Linked DNA regions of Oryzias latipes. The protein of the gene in region 2 purifies or fractionates together with the protein of the main gene of each other region. This does not show direct contact. Links are inferred from orthologs where the notes say so. Each region holds a gene or a part of one and is shown on either strand. Other genes may lie near its edges.

Evidence for each region.
Region 1: the proteins of fbl (region 2) and tgs1 purify together in Homo sapiens (affinity purification with mass spectrometry; 3 studies listed by BioGRID and IntAct, counting the BioPlex papers as one, with this or other methods). This does not show direct contact. The link is inferred for Oryzias latipes from reciprocal best matches to the Homo sapiens genes FBL and TGS1.

What each region holds. Positions count from the first base shown.
Region 1 is NC_019875.2:5,125,790-5,133,637, forward strand, and holds part of tgs1 (trimethylguanosine synthase), read left to right. Parts: intron 1-77; coding exon 78-158; intron 159-320; coding exon 321-746; intron 747-3,383; coding exon 3,384-3,513; intron 3,514-5,764; coding exon 5,765-5,851; intron 5,852-7,525; coding exon 7,526-7,682; intron 7,683-7,848. UniProt on the Homo sapiens protein: Catalyzes the 2 serial methylation steps for the conversion of the 7-monomethylguanosine (m(7)G) caps of snRNAs and snoRNAs to a 2,2,7-trimethylguanosine (m(2,2,7)G) cap structure.
Region 2 is NC_019874.2:7,455,586-7,463,533, forward strand, and holds the start of fbl (rRNA 2'-O-methyltransferase fibrillarin), read left to right. Parts: upstream 1-3,689; 5' UTR 3,690-3,808; coding exon 3,809-3,818; intron 3,819-4,780; coding exon 4,781-4,915; intron 4,916-4,990; coding exon 4,991-5,134; intron 5,135-7,064; coding exon 7,065-7,159; intron 7,160-7,403; coding exon 7,404-7,574; intron 7,575-7,745; coding exon 7,746-7,878; intron 7,879-7,948.

The DNA of each region.
Region 1 (7,848 bases), on a different chromosome or scaffold from region 2:
GGTCCTGCTTTGAGCTGCAGCAGCTCCTCATAACATCTATGTAGATTTGGGATTGGTTGATGTGATTTTTGTTTCAGATGGAGGAAAAGAAGAGGATGGCTGCCATGGAGCAGATGGCGATGAAGAGCATCAGGGTGATGGCTGGAATTCTTACTGGGGTGAGGGCGGAGTTAAAAGTCACGATCATTCCATATTTGGAATTTTAAAAGCAAAAAGACGCAGATTGATGTTGACCTTTCTGTCCAACTCGTGTGCATGTGGCGTTAGAGAGCCGTCATCGCCTTACGTGACCTCTCCTTCTCCGTTGTCGTCCTCTGAAGCTCAGCATGGAGAAGCTCTGCTGTGGACCGGCTGGTCGGAGAAACATCCGGAAGGCGCTGAGGGAACGGCCGGTGCTCCGTGGGATGATCCAGAAATGAGGTCCATGTGGGACGAGCACGCTTCAGAGATCTACTGCTCGTACTGGGAGAGATTCTCCTACTGGGCCTCGCAGGGTTGGACTATGGACGGGAACGGCGGTGGAGGAGAGGCAGCTGCTGAGACGGAAAACCGGCAGGAGGAGGAGCTGAGCACTCTGTTGGAGGGCAGCTGCACCTTCGCGGCAGACCAGGAGGCGAGCAGGGAAGGTGAGGGAGGCGGCCAGCAGCTGGAGGCGGAGCTTGGTGGATCTGAGCGCCCCAGTGACGGTGGGGGTGATGAGCAGAGACCAGCTGGCCCTCCACAGCAGCACACAGCTGAACAAACAGGTATGTGCATCACCTGACCAATTTCATGTCCCATTAGCTGTCACAAACTTGGCTGTGTGACCTTTTCTACACATGTGACCCCTCCCCCTGGGGGAGCGGTGAGCTGCAGACACAGCTGCCCAGTGGGAGCCATTTGCCGGTTTAACCCCCCCCCGATCCAACCCTTTAATGTTGAGTGCCAATGGGGTAGGCATTTTAGAGTCTTTGGATCTGAACTCACCTTCCAGTCTCAGGGGAGACACTCTACCTTAAGGCCACTGAGGAGATGCCCTTTTCTAAAGAAAACAAAGCCCCCTGCTGTTTTCACTCTGTTCAAATCCTCGTTTTCAGTCTCAAATGTTTGTTACCAGATTTAAATTTTTCCGTTTCTCTGCTGATAATTTTTCAGCTCTTGATGCCTATTGATGCAAATATTCATCAAACCACTTCTGCCTCAAAATCAAAGGGCCTAAAAAAAATCCACCTTTTGAGGTTTTAAGTGTATTATTATGTTCATTTCTCACATAGACGACCCAAAAGTTAAATTTTATCTGAGTAATCCTCTGAAAACCTGCTCTCTGAGCACCAGCCCCTCCAAATCCATGGAAACGGTTGGTTCCTTACACCAGTGTTTTTCAACCTTTTCTGATCCACGGCACACTTTAACCTTAAAAAAAATCCCGCGGCACACCAGCATCCAAGAAAAAAAAAAAAAAGGAGAAACTCATAGTCTGTATTGATCTACAGCCCCTCCACAGTCTCACATGCATTTTTGAGATAATTGTTGCAGAAAAAGCTGGAAACTGCAGCTGTTTTTTTCTAAAAGATGCAATAAAAGTTAAGTTAGAAGATTTAAAAACAGTTTGAAGTGTGTTCGTTGGTTTCAAGACGTTTAACAACAGATCTCCTTGTGCGCTGTCACTCTCATAACCCAATGCATCATGGGAGATGTAGTGCATAAAACGGCCGAAGATCGGTTTTCGGAGCTTCATTGTTTTGTTCACTTGTTCCACGGTCTGACACCAGATTATGTGGAAAGCTACAGCGCAAAAGACGAGCTTTAGCTGGTAGTTTTGTTAGAACTGAGCGACTTTACGAACTAAATCGGGACAAGGAAGTGAAGACTTTAACCACTTCTGATTGGTCAGACTGATGACATGTGATTAAGCCTTCAAGAATGATTGGTGGAGACAGTTAAAGGGGCGGGACTTTTCCAAAATACAGCCGGAGCTGCAGCTGAATCGTGGTAACGTCATTCTTATCAAAATGTCTTTAATAAAATAAAATAAACGCAAAGAAAAAGTATTTTACTATCTTTCATATTCCTAACTCCTCAGTGTTTTATCAGGACCTGTTTGGATGAACAAAGAGCTGAAATCCTGGAGATGGAAAATGTTTTTAGATCACTTAATGAGGGCAATTTCCCACGGCACATTTGACCATCTCCCACGGCACACTGGTTGAAAAACACTGCCTTACACTGTGACATCACAAAGTGAGGAACCGCCCCTTCCAGGAAGAGTCTGCGCTGTCAGCCCCGCCCCCAGACTAAAACACACGCCCACTTTCTCCGTGGAGCTAGCGGTCATCGGCTAAATGCTTTCCTTTTATATGAACAATATGCACATCTTTCTTTGTAAAAGTTCGGATGTTGTTTGTTTTCGGCTGTAGGTTGACAACATGAAATGGGCGTAACCCACACAGAGAGAAAGGCGGAGCCTCAGAAATCGAGTCGTCTTAATTCCGGGTTGGGAACTGAGCTGCAAAAATAACTCATATTTTATTTTAAAAAATGTTTGAAAGACATTTAAAAAAGCATTTTTATTGTTCCAAAGGTGATTTATTATCATATTTATGGATGTAGTTTACTCTGAAAGGCCTAAGAACAGCATGCTAAAGGCCCTTCAACTTAGTATCTACTTAAAAAACAAAAACGTAAGTGAATTTTTTTTCATAGCTGGAAATAAATATATAAAATAAATATATAAAATATATAAATAAAATTAAATATTCAGCAGATGTGTCCGTGACCCACAGCGGGACCTTTTCTGTCCGAAGCGTGACTCACTGTCCACAGTTTTCATTAAGACCTGAGCGTGTTTTACCTCTTTCAGCGTCATCTTTTCTATCTCCTTCTATGTTCCTGTAACACTTGACTGCAGGCGTCCTGGATCTCCTAACCCGTTTGGATGAAGACAGATCTGCTTTCTCATGTCGCAGAACTTTTCCCACAATGGGGAAAAGTAAAGAGGCCGGCCGGGCGGCGTCTTTAGGACCGGCTCTTTGTTATTTAGTGATGTTTTCAACAGTGTCTTTAATAATAAAAGTGAATACATTAATGATAAATATTGAGGGTGAGGTAAAAGTCGTACTTAAAACATCAGTTCATCAAATACTAGATCGGTTCTCTGTCAAAGCTGTATTGTTTCATTTCCATCAGTTAATGAGGAATTCTTTTGCTTTTCTTCATCATAAAAATTCACAACTTTTTTTACTTTAAAAGGTTTCTCTGAATAGAAATGGTTTTTAATGGAAATTAGATTTAAAAAGTCCTTTTTTTTAATTCAAATTGTGTTAAAATGAACGTGTGGTTTGTTGAATGAAAACAGAATCAGGGCCGTGTCAGATCATCGCCTCATGCCTTTGGTTTGATCTCAGTCTGTCAGCAGAACTCTGGCTCCTCTAACGGACATCATGACTCCAGAAAGCCGATTTCGCAAAGAGATGACGACGATGATGAGGACGAAGATGATGAAAACCCCAGGCGACAGACCAAAGTGAAGCGCAGGTGAGTATTCTCTGTTGTGCTGCTAAGTAGGGATGTAACGGACACGGATGTACATCAAGAATCGATCAAAATCTGGGAGTAGCAGCAGTGTCGGATAAAAAATACTGATAAGAATAAGGAATAATAAGGAAGAAGTGTTTTTTTCCTTCTCAGTCCTTTTTCAGGCGCAGCCGTTAGTGTTAGTGTTTCGCTCATGTCCAGATCTGCCAGGAGAGTCGATAGACTCGATAGACTGTCCTGGCAGATGCAGCCTGTGAAGAAACCTGAATCACATGTTCAGGTCCCTCCAGTCATGCGGCTAGAGACAGAGCTGTCCACATGATGGAATATTCGCTACAGAAAAAGCTCCTCTGGGACAATTCAAACACCAAATATGTTTGCAGAGACACAGGAGACCAATATCAGAAACTGTCCAGGAGTCAGTTAGGCTGTCTTTCTAAATAACACAGAAAAGAATCCCAAAAGTTTCTTTTTATTTTTACCTGGAAAACAATTGGGGTAAAAACCAACCCTGATCACGTGATAGTAGTGCAGCTCTTTAGTAAAGTTGTTAACAAAGTTTGAACTCATGAATCTTCAGACAATAACTCTGTCATTATGGGATCATTTTATTCAATAAATCAGGGTTTTGACTTGTTTTAGGGACCAGACTAGAAACATTATTTTACTGCAATGCCTTTTCAACTTGCATAGTGTTTTGGTTTTATTAGAGCTCAGTTTTCTGCATATTAAGCTTATGATTTGGCAAATGGGCGGAGCTTACAAACTCTCACTTTAGTCGCCAATCGCCAACCTTCGGTTCCTGCAGTTGATGCAAACCGGGAAGCATTAAATAGTGCAGTTCATGAAAAGACCACTAGAGGCTGGTGGCAGAAGGGAGCAGCTTTTACATTTTGGTTGAGGTTTTAAACTAAAAGTATATTCATGTTTGTTTGTTTTTGCTTTTTTGTTTCTTTCTGCTGCACTCAGACAGACTTTCTGTGTGGTTTCTGATAAATTTAGTAAAGGTATTTATTCATAAAAGATTATACAAGATGTCTATTGGTTTTGCTTGAAGCGCTGATGCTTACAAAGGCACTAAAGCTGTGTTTAGTTTTGTCATTTTGTACTTTGGATTTTTTTTAAAACTACATGAAGGTAAAGAAGTCAGGTCCTCCCCAAACACTGTATAGGAATTTAAAGCTAAACTTATTTAGTTGCCCAAAATAAGACCAAACATTACAGCTGGGTATCACCTTCAAACCTCTAAATCCAGAGGCTGGTCAATATTTAATACGTTCCCAACGTTGTGTTCTGTAATGTTTGTGGATAAAGTAGGAAGAATAGAACAGACGGGTGATGTTGTGACGAACAAAAACTAAACGGATCATGTCTGTGACACGGACACTTTGTGGCTCTTCATCATTTAATTGCAGCTCATCTTCTAGTTTTCATGAACACATGACGAGTTCTTTGCTTCTGTAGTTCTTGAAATTATCAGAAAGAAAATCGCGGAAAATATTTCAATAAAGATCACCCGGCTTTTTGTTTGTTTCATTTAGGCCTTCACAATGATTCGCAAATTTATCGATATCGCGATATTAAGCTGTGCAGTGTGCATATCGCAATGGATGGCAAAAATAAATGGTTACTTTAAATGTGCTAAAACAATCTTATGGCAGCTTGAAGTATTTAGCGAATCAAAATAAATCCCTTTATGCATCAGATCAGATGGAGCCCTTTTATGTTAGCTGTTCTATGTAGACGAGGGTCATTTCGAGTATAAAGTTATGTTGACTCTTATTTCAATTAAATTGCAGTGAAATAGAAATGTTGTATTTGGTTGTTTTGCTATGTGTTCGTAAATCGCAATATATATCGTCGTCGCAATATTGATTACTAATATTGCATATCGTGAGTTTTCCTCCTATCGTGCAGCTCTAGTCTCTTTGTTTGTTTTCATATTTTTTTCTTTTAATACACACAAAAACCATTTTATTTTAATGTAATGCAATAGGCTTCCATGTGATCCCTCACCATTACCAAAAGAAAGTCCCCATTTCCTTGTTTTAGTTATCAATAGGATCAATAATGATCAATAACATGTGGAAAGCGCATTGATATGAGTTTAGCTTCAATAACTTCAGAAAATTAGAGGTCATGTCACAAAGACCGGACCAAAGTTTTATAACGGCAGCTGCTCATCTGGTTCAACTGGACCTGTGGGCGCTTTCTGTCCCAGCCTGTCAACACGCCATGTCTGTGTTTGTAGCCACGAGCAGGACGAGGAGGAGTTCCCGCAGCTCACCCCCCAGGAAGCCTGGACCGAGCTCGGACTCCGACACGACCCGGGCCTGACGTGAGTCCGCTCTCTTTAATTCCCTCTTTTATGCTCGTCACGGAGAAAAAGCACACCCATGAGCAGCAGGACTCTGAAGGAGCCCCCAGCAGCACCCTTCCCCCTCCAAACATGGTTCCAGAGACAACAGTCAGTTTACAAATGAGACAATGCTACTTGTAAGCAGGACCTGTCAGCCCCAACATCAATAAAAGCCCCCCCACAAAAAGTGCCTGAAATTTTACTTTTTTCTCTCAAAACTCCAAAATTGATTTCAAAATCGCAGTTATTGAACCTTTTTTATAGAAAGCACTCGAGATGATGATCAGTACAGAGCTCTGGCCTTAACCTTAGGTTGGCCTTAAGTTGTTGCTGACTCACATCTAGCTCTGTTAGCTCCAGAAGGATGAAGCAGGACAAAGCTAACAGACTCAGGCCAATTTGCTCCAGGCAGATGATGCAGGATGAGGCCCAGGTCTAATAGCTCCAGGAGGATGGTGCAGGGCGGGGCCCAGGTCTAATAGCTCCAGGACGATGGTGCAGGGCGGGGCCCAGGTCTAATAGCTCCAGGAGGATGGTGCAGGGCGGGGCCCAGGTCTAAAAGCACCAGGAGGATGGTGCAGGGCGGGGCCCAGGTCTAATAGCTCCAGGAGGATGGTGCAGGGCAGGGCCCAGGTCTAATAGCTCCAGGAGGATGGTGCAGGGCGGGGCCCAGGTCTAATAGCTCCAGGAGGATGGTGCAGGGCGGGGCCCAGGTCTAATAGCTCCAGGAGGATGGTGCAGGGCGGGGCCCAGGTCTAAAAGCACCAGGAGGATGGTGCAGGGCGGGGCCCAGGTCTAATAGCTCCAGGAGGATGGTGCAGGGCGGGGCCCAGGTCTAATAGCTCCAGGAGGATGGTGCAGGGCGGGGCTCAGGGCCTGTTAGTTCCAGGAGGATGGTGCAGGGCGGGGCCCAGGTCTAATAGCTCCAGGAGGATGGTGCAGGGCGGGGCCCAGGTCTAATAGCTCCAGGAGGATGGTGCAGGGCGGGGCCCAGGTCTAATAGCTCCAGGAGGATGGTGCAGGGCGGGGCTCAGGGCCTGTTAGTTCCAGGAGGATGATGCAGGGCGGGGCCCAGGTCTAATAGCTCCAGGAGGGCGGTAAAGGATGAGGCTCAAAAATTAAATGGCTGGAACCAGCTCAGTGAGCTCAGATGAAGAGTGTTTTTAACATTTCAGGTTTTAAAATATAGTCTTGCATTTAACATATTGAACTAGCTTTATTCTTGCATGCTATAGGTCCTTTGAAGGCTCACTGTATTCTCCTAAATTGAAACCATGTGAACAGGTTAACAGCACAAATAGTTATCTTATTCTGACATTGGTTTTGATCACAGAAACAAATAAATCTGTTCTTCTTGTCCTGCCCTTAAGGCTCTTCAGGTCAAGTAACCGCAAGCTGTTTTCACAGGTTAGGAAGCTTAGACTAGCTTATAATGCAATTCAGCCACTCACCAAAAAGTATAGGGGACACATATTACTGATTTTGTGACAGGAGCCTGGGGGCCGGTGGAATTCTGAACGCAGCATTTGTTCCACAGGCCAGACTTTAAGTAAAAAAGCCCTGAAAGTGCAGGTGAGGCTGCCTTATGGATGCATGTGTGAATAACCGTGCAGTGACCACACAGCAGAAGCCGGGTCTGTGTTCCTTCTGCAGGTTCGACAGTGTGTTGAGCTTCAAAGGTCCAGGTTCTCTGCGTCAGAAGAAGCAGAGGAAGACGAAGAGGAGCGTCTGCGGCGTCAACAAGCACATCAGGTTCCCTGAGGCGGGTGAAGCCATCACACCATCACAGAGCAGCAGCGCCGTTCAAAAGGTACTCCTCCCTGTTTGACACTGTTAGAGGTCCGCTGTTACTGCTGGACGGAGGTTTCTGATCTTCTCCATTCTCGCATAGAGTATGAATGAAGTAGACCCAAAGCTATTTATCATTTACAACACTGAGGATAGGTGATGGCAGGAAACGATGGGACCACCCGCTC
Region 2 (7,948 bases):
ACAAGACTGGCTATGGATACCGACTCAGAAATGGGGCCACCATCAGTCACGTCCTCTACATGGATGACATCAAGCTATATGCAAAGAGTGAGCGTGACATTGACTCCCTGATCCACACCACCAGGATCTACAGTACTGACATTGGGATGTCATTCGACCTCAAGAAATGTAGCCAGGTGGTGGCAAAGAGAGGCAAGGTAGTCCACACAGGAGGGGTCTCACTCCCAGAAGGAACAATAGCAAACATTGAGGACAGTTACAAGTACCTTGGAATTCCATGGGCAAATGGCAACCTGGAGTAGGCAACAAGGAAAGCTGCAGTAGCCAAAAACCTCCAACGAGTAAGGCAAGTCTTGAGAAGCCTGCTCAATGGCAAGAACAAGACCTGGGCAATAAAGGGTTACACACTACCAGTTATCAGATACCCTGCAGAAATAATAAGATTACCAAAGGAAGAGATAGAAACCACGGATGTTAAGACCCGAAAGCTCCTCACATTATATGGAGGGTTCCATCCCAAATCCAGCATCCTGAGACTGTATGCTAGCTGCAAGGAAGGAGGCCGAGGACTGGTGAGCGTGGAAGCCACTATCCAGGGTGAAACATGTGCTCAGTGAATGTCTCAGGAAATGGAGAGAAGTTTTTAGAAATGCCAAACTTCACACATATACAGAGAGAGGCAGAGAACGGACAACTAGATAGAAAATAGAGCAAGCTAATGGAGAGATGTCTTATATCTTGCAGCACTAGAGAATACAATTTTTTTTATTGCTGTCGCCTTCGTGTTGCCTGCTTCTTTTCAATGGACAAATATACCACTTCTATGGTGTCAATTCAGCGCCTTAAGTATTGTGCATCAAAACTGTAAAACCGCGCATCAAAAAACAAACCCCAAATCTGCTAATCAAAATGCATAAATTGAGAACCAAAACCTATAATTTGCAACCAATAGCTATAACCCAAAACACAATCATATTTCTCAGTTGCCAATTTGTCTTCTCGCCATTCTGAAATCGTCTTTTTGAGTTGTAGTTTTATTTTGAAATCCTCTTTTTGAGTTGCGCTTTTATTTTTTGCGGTTTTGATTCTAAAACCTGTCGACACGTAAAATCATCCTCGTCATCCAGTAGCTCATTGGCTACCGAATAACTCAGTCTTACGTCAACATACCAGTTTCGGAAGGTGAGTTTTTCATATTTTTCAAATCTTTTTCTATATTAAAGCTATATTAGAGCTCCACCAGTAGCTGCTAGTGAAAAAAAAGATGTTAGAAAGTAAGATGTTGCATGAAAAACTATCGCCATTCATTGTACAAAATGTTCTCCTGTGGTAGCCATGCTAGCTAGCTCAATGGTAGTGCTGTTTCCGGCTCATTTCATAACTTTTACGGATTAAAAAAAGTCAATTTTTTACGACAGTGGCCGGGATAGGCTCTGGCAGCCCTGTGACCCCGAAAGGGAAAACGGGATTAGAAGATGAATGAATGAATGAGTTTCAGCAAGGGGACGGAAGGCAGATTGGAAAAGTTCATACAGATTATTGGAGGAAATATCATGAGCATGAAGCTGAGCAGATACTATTTTCTCAAGAATTTTTTAAATGAATGGAAGGTTGGAAATGGGACGGTAATTATTGAGGTCTGTGGGATCTGAACCCAATTATTTAAGTATGGGAGTGACAGCAGCAGTTTTCAGTGCAGAAGGAACAATTCCAGAGGAATGAAGCATGGATTATGTTGGTGATGAGAGGACAAAGAGAAGGAGCAGTAGCTTTAACAAGGATGGTGGGCAGTGGGTCAAGCTGGCATGTGGAAGGTTAGGATTTTTTGAATTAATGTAGAGATTTGACTAACTGTGGGTAGGGTAAATGAAGAAAACCAAATATCAGACTTAAAAGACGGAATGGAAAATAGAAATGGAGCAGAGTAGGGGGTAAACTGTTGATGGATTTTTGTGGTGAAAAATGAAGCCAAGGTGTTGCAGAAATCAGTTGAATAGAGGTGTGATGGAAGGGAGTTAGGAGGTTTGATGATGTTAGAGATGAGGGAGAAAAGAATCATTGATTATTTTTTATTTTAATTGATTAGATTGGAGTCGTAGGCAGATTTGGTTTTTGAGATGCAGTCTTTATAGTAAAGAATGTGCTGTATGTACATGTACCTGTGCGCTCACAGACACTGCAAGTGTATGAGCAGGATGACGTTCATGTTAAAAATAATGTACGCCGGAGACTATCGTGTCGTTTGAAAACTATAAATGTTACTCTGAAGTCCATCGGACAGTTGCGATCAAAAACAGCTGACATCAGTATGAACGAGTATAAACCAGCCCTTTTCTGATTTTGCTTGGTTATTATTCAACAAACTGAACGTATAAATTCCTAAATGTCAGTCACTGCGACGTAGGGGTGTGTATTGGCAAGAGTCTGCCTATAAGATACTTATCCCAATACTCGTCCCACAATACGATATGTATTGTGATATTTAACCGGAACACATTTTCTTTCTTTTTTTAAATATGACTTGAAAAAACTCTACCAGAATTTCAATACGTCTTTCGTTGTAAAAAATAATTGTAAAATTTAGTTTATTTAATGATCACAATGTTAATAATATATATATAAGTTGATTTTACCCAAGCAAATTCATAGTGCTTTTATTTAGGTAACTTCAAATATATAAAGGGAACAGTCAACAAGTATTTTGACAACAAAATAATTTTCAGAACAAGAAAAAAAATGGAATGACTGTGCCTTAACCAAAAAAGTATGATTTAGGAAATAAATAAATGTTTATTTTTCTACATTAAAGTAAATTCTCAAGTACCTTTAAACAGTTCAGGAGCCTGAATGGTGCTTCAAAAATAAAGGGGGGAAAAAACGAATTATTTCCAAAAACAATAGAGTGTGATGAGGCAGCATGACAGGGTGGAGAATCTTTAATGTGGCTATGCTTTATTTACATACATAATATTTGAGCGAACCCCTATACTACAGTCACAGGGCCCAATGAACTACTGTGAATGACGCTGCCCCCTCTATGCTGACAATCCAAAGAAAGGCTCTTTCCTCACAGCAAGAAAGCTCCCAGTTCAAGTCCCGGCTGGGGGACCTGAAACAGAACATCAGTGGGGGACCTTTCTGTGTGGAGTTTGCATGTTCTCCCTGTGCATGCATGGATTTTCTACGGGGACTCCAAAAACATGCTTCATAGGTTAATTGGTTACTCGAAATTGTCCCTAGGATGCATGGGTGTGTGATTGTGGCCCTGCGATAGACTTGCGACCTGTCCAGGGTTGTACCCTGCCTTCGCCTGCAAGTGGCTGGGATAGGCTCTGGCAGCCCTGTGACCCCGAAAGGGAAAAAACAGATTAGAAAATGAACGAATGAATGTTTACGTATGTATTTTGAGCATAAACAAAACTAAATATTTTAGTTGCCAAAACACTTTACACCTGCCTTTTTTTTAAATGGGCACCATCACACTTCTCCATTCCTTAGGCATCTTCTCACATTCTAACATCCTGTTGAACAACTCAGTCAAAAGCTCCACTGCCATCTCTCCTAGACACTTTATTTTTGTTGGACTTTTTATTCTAAGCGGGGGTAGTCTGTGCAGAGACATGTCCAGAGCTACAGGGGGCAGCACCTCTGGAACAGAGCGGCGGAACGCCCCGACTTCGTTTGAAAACGGAAGTCGTTCCCTGCTGCAAAGAATAAGAAGCGCACGTGGCCACGCAGCTCGCACGCGCGGTTGGACCCGGACGGTTCGAAGAATCAGAGGTCAACTTTCCCGGTTCTTAAAGCTATCATGAAGCCAGGTAATATCGTAAGCTCCGCCCGGATGTATCTATAATGTCAATATCTCAGCTCCGAAATAAAGCATTTTTTGCGTTAGGGAAGGAGGGGGGTAACAACAGAAGTTGCCTCGTGCGCCGATAAGTTACATGTTGGTAATAATCAAACCGATTTCCCATCATGCTCGGCAGCGGCGTCTACGAAGCCCCTAAATTTTATTCAGATGGTTCGTGTTTTGGTGGGGGGGCTTCTCGCTAATACTCCCGAACCGTGAATGTTATGGGTCAGAACGACGGAAAGGACAAACTCTCCATTCCGAACCCAAAAGCTAAGATTCTCCCCGAAACCAAACCACGAAGTCTGCGGTCACGTGATTTTTATTAGGATTAGATTACCTTTTTTTTAAGGACGTCGCTGTGTTGTCTCTAATGACTCTTGTTTGAAAAAAAAAAAGAGAGATTTTGTTTATGAACAGCCACTGGCCCTCTTTACAGCTCATGATTGGTCACGGCAGGCAGAAAACCACGCCCCCAATTTGGGGCAATTTTAATTATTCATTTAAAATAAGTCTCCAAACTCCTATCTCAAACAATATAGTTAAACTTTGTATACAATCTAGACGAATTGGACGATCTCTGACTTCACTGGTTGGACTGAAACATAAAGTGAGGGGGGGACAGAGTTAAGTCCCCCACAGGTGTTGACTTTTGGGCAGGACCAAGGCCCCACCCTCCATTCGAAATCCAAAGTGTTTCAAGTCCCACTACGATCATCATTGGATCTATTTTCAAAGTGTTCCCAGTGGTCTTTTAATTCTGATTTTGTCGTTTTCAGGCAAGATCCATAAACTGTTGTTTCCTAGGACATAGTTCCTGCAGAGCAGCAGGAGTTCATTAAAAATTCACCTCTGAGTTGTAGGCGGGACTGTAGGCGTGGAGTTAGTGAGACCACCTGACTGCAATCTTTCATGTGTTGTGTGTTTCAGGATTCAGTCCCCGTGGAGACAGAGGAGGAAGAGGAGGAGGAGGATGGGGTGGAGGACGAGGGGGGTTCAGTGACCGAGGAGGAAGAGGGGGGTTCGGTGACCGTGGAGGAAGAGGCGGGTTCAGAGGTGGACGAGGTAAGAACGGCGCCGTAGTTCCGTTCCGTAGACAGCCAGCAGAAGGATCTGTTACTCACAAAAGCCTCTTTTTAGGTGGAGGATTCCGGTCCCCCGACGGTGGAGGGTTTCGAGGACGCGGGGGCGGCAGAGGAACCCCAAGAGGACGAGGAGGGAGAGGAGGCCGTGGAGGGTTTGGAGGAGGGAAGAAGGTGGTGATAGAGCCGCACAGACATGAAGGTACTTATGGACTCCTGATGATGATCTTTTCCATTTTAAACAGGCGTCTAAAAGCTGATTTCTACCTGCGGTGCGTCTGCGATGTGGTGACACAAGAAATGTGCCAATCAGAATGTTTACACCGTCTCCGTCACATGTCCGTCCCTCCACAACCCAGGCTTTACGCAGCAGTTCTATTTTCTGCCAATCGACGCTTCAAATTCGTCCCTAAAAGCCGGGAAACGGATCCGGGTTTAAAGATAAAATCTTCTGTTGTATTTTCAAAATAAAACTTTCTAAGACTTCATATTTACAGTGACGTGTTCACATGATGACGCACGTCAACACCGCCGCTAACACCACCACGGACGAGGAAAGTTTAATTGTGGAGGTTAAAAAACACATGTATGACACAAAATGTGTATTTTACAAGGACTCAGTGAGGAAGAGGAGGGTACGGGGTTTGATCGTTTAAGTATTGGATGAGCAAAGAGACACGGGGTTGAAAGGCCAATCCACTCCTCCAGGGGGAGGGTCTTGAAACAAACTCCTCAAACAGCGCGACGGCGGCACACTGCAGAGGGAGCAGTGTAAATTCAGGGTTACTCTTCACCCAAAGCTCATCATGCACGCATGAAAAAGCAAACAAGATGAAAACGACAGAGAATCCTCATTCAAATGTAGACGCAGCAGGTCAGTCTGAACGGACAGAAAGACACGACTACCCCCAAACCATCCTCTAGTTGTTTTTAACATTGAGGGAGGCTTTGTCCTGAAATGAAATGGACTTGGTTCTGTTGTTCTAGAAACCACCAAACAGAACCGGCTTTTTTTTTTTTTTTTAACTGGGGTCTTTGGAGAGTACGTGGAGCATGAACATTTAAAGTTTCCGTAGAAAGAATGTTCTGTTTGAACAGAAAGATGTCTTCCACCAAATTTCATCAAAGCTCTGCTTACAGTTGTCTGGATGAGCTGAAGGCTTTTCAGAGCTGTTCTGGAACAGCCCAGTCATCAGGAAGTTCCATCACAGATGCATGGACTAGTTTCTGTACGGCAGGACTCGTGCTGTTTCAGGGTTTCCTCGAGTTAAAGGTCATGTTGCTGTGGTGAGAGTCTGAAACTGACGTAGGAGAGTTAAGTCAGTTTGCTTCAGATGTTTGTCATGGATGGTTCCTCTGAAGTGAGTCATTACTACTCTACAGGTCTATAGTGAAGAGCTGAACAGCTCTGTTTCTTAGCTGAGTTAAAGGTAATGTAAATGTGACGTCTTTAGAGGAATGAACAGGGGTCTGCAACCACAGGCGGCCCCTTTAACAGTCTGTGGTAGCTCTTTGGCTTTAACCTCTTCAGATCTGTGTGTGGACATCACAGTTAAATTGGGTTAGATGACCACATTTCTGCTTAAACTGAGCCCTGTAATTACTTGATTCGAGGGTTATCTCAAACATTAGCCTGGGTCTTAAGAGGTTTAAACAACGCACAACGATGTCTGGTTGTTGTTCAGAGTTTTTGAAGTCTGTATTTTGCATTTACACGAGTGGATTTAAAAAATTGTTTTCTACACCTATGTTTAGTTTTGACAGTAAAAGAAATAAACAGGATGAAAGCGCACCAAAGTCATGACAGAAAATGTCACGTTTGACCTGTTTTTTGTGTATTTTTATTGTAAGTAAATCTGCTGCATCAGAAGGATCTTATTTGACACAGCGTGCACTTTATTTTGAAAGGAACACAGATCTGCTGCTGTAAAGAGTAAAGAAGTTCCAGATGTTATCTATAGAAAAATATAAGATTTTAGAAATATTTAAAAGGTAAATCTTACAAAGGAATGGGTGTAAAAAGGTGTATTTTTCTAAAAGGTTAAGTGGGACGGCCCTTTGAGCGTTTCAGAATGAAGATGTAAGGAGGTTATGTATGTGGGTCTGACGGTCTGGGTCGTGGTTTCTTCCAGGGGTGTTTATCTGCAGAGGGAAGGAGGATGCCCTCGTCACCAAAAACATGGTGGTGGGAGAGTCTGTGTACGGGGAGAAGAGGATGAGCGTGGAGGTAAAGAGCCGCTTCTGTATTGTGAGGTTGTCCCTGTAGCTCCAGTGCTGAAGGGTTGGTTAACCCTCAGCCTCTGGTCCCTGCAACAGCAAAGTGTAAAAACTGAAACCATAACTCCTGTTTTTAAAATGTTTGGATCCTTTCCTGCTAGATGACGTAAACTCTTGGCTGGCTTCTGCAGCAGAGCTGGACTTGGTGGATTTTTCTTCTGGAAGATGATTGTGGATTTCCTGTTTTTGATCAGGAGGGTGATACTAAGATTGAGTACAGAGCCTGGAATCCTTTCCGCTCCAAACTAGCAGCTGCCATTCTTGGAGGAGTTGACCAGATTCACATCAAACCCGGAGCCAAGGTCATGTACCTTGGAGCCGCATCGGGAACCACGGTGTCCCACGTCTCTGACATCGTTGGGCCAGTAAGTACATTTCAGAAGTAATCGCATTGTTGTTGCTGTTGTGAAAATGCGTCACTGCTGTCAGTACCCATATGTGGTTTGATCAATATGCAGCTTTGACACATTTTGTCAGAATAAACCGTCTGACTCCGCCCCCTCTAGACTCATGTTGGATCTTGTTTTTGTTTTAAGGAGGGGCTGGTCTATGCAGTGGAATTCTCCCACCGATCTGGCCGCGATCTCCTCAATGTGGCTAAGAAACGCACCAACATCATCCCCATCATCGAAGACGCCCGCCATCCGCACAAGTACCGCATGCTGGTTGGTAGGTGTCAGTGCCTCAGCACAGCGGCTGTGCGGACAGAGCGCTTCTCCTCCCCGGCCTCACGTTGGCG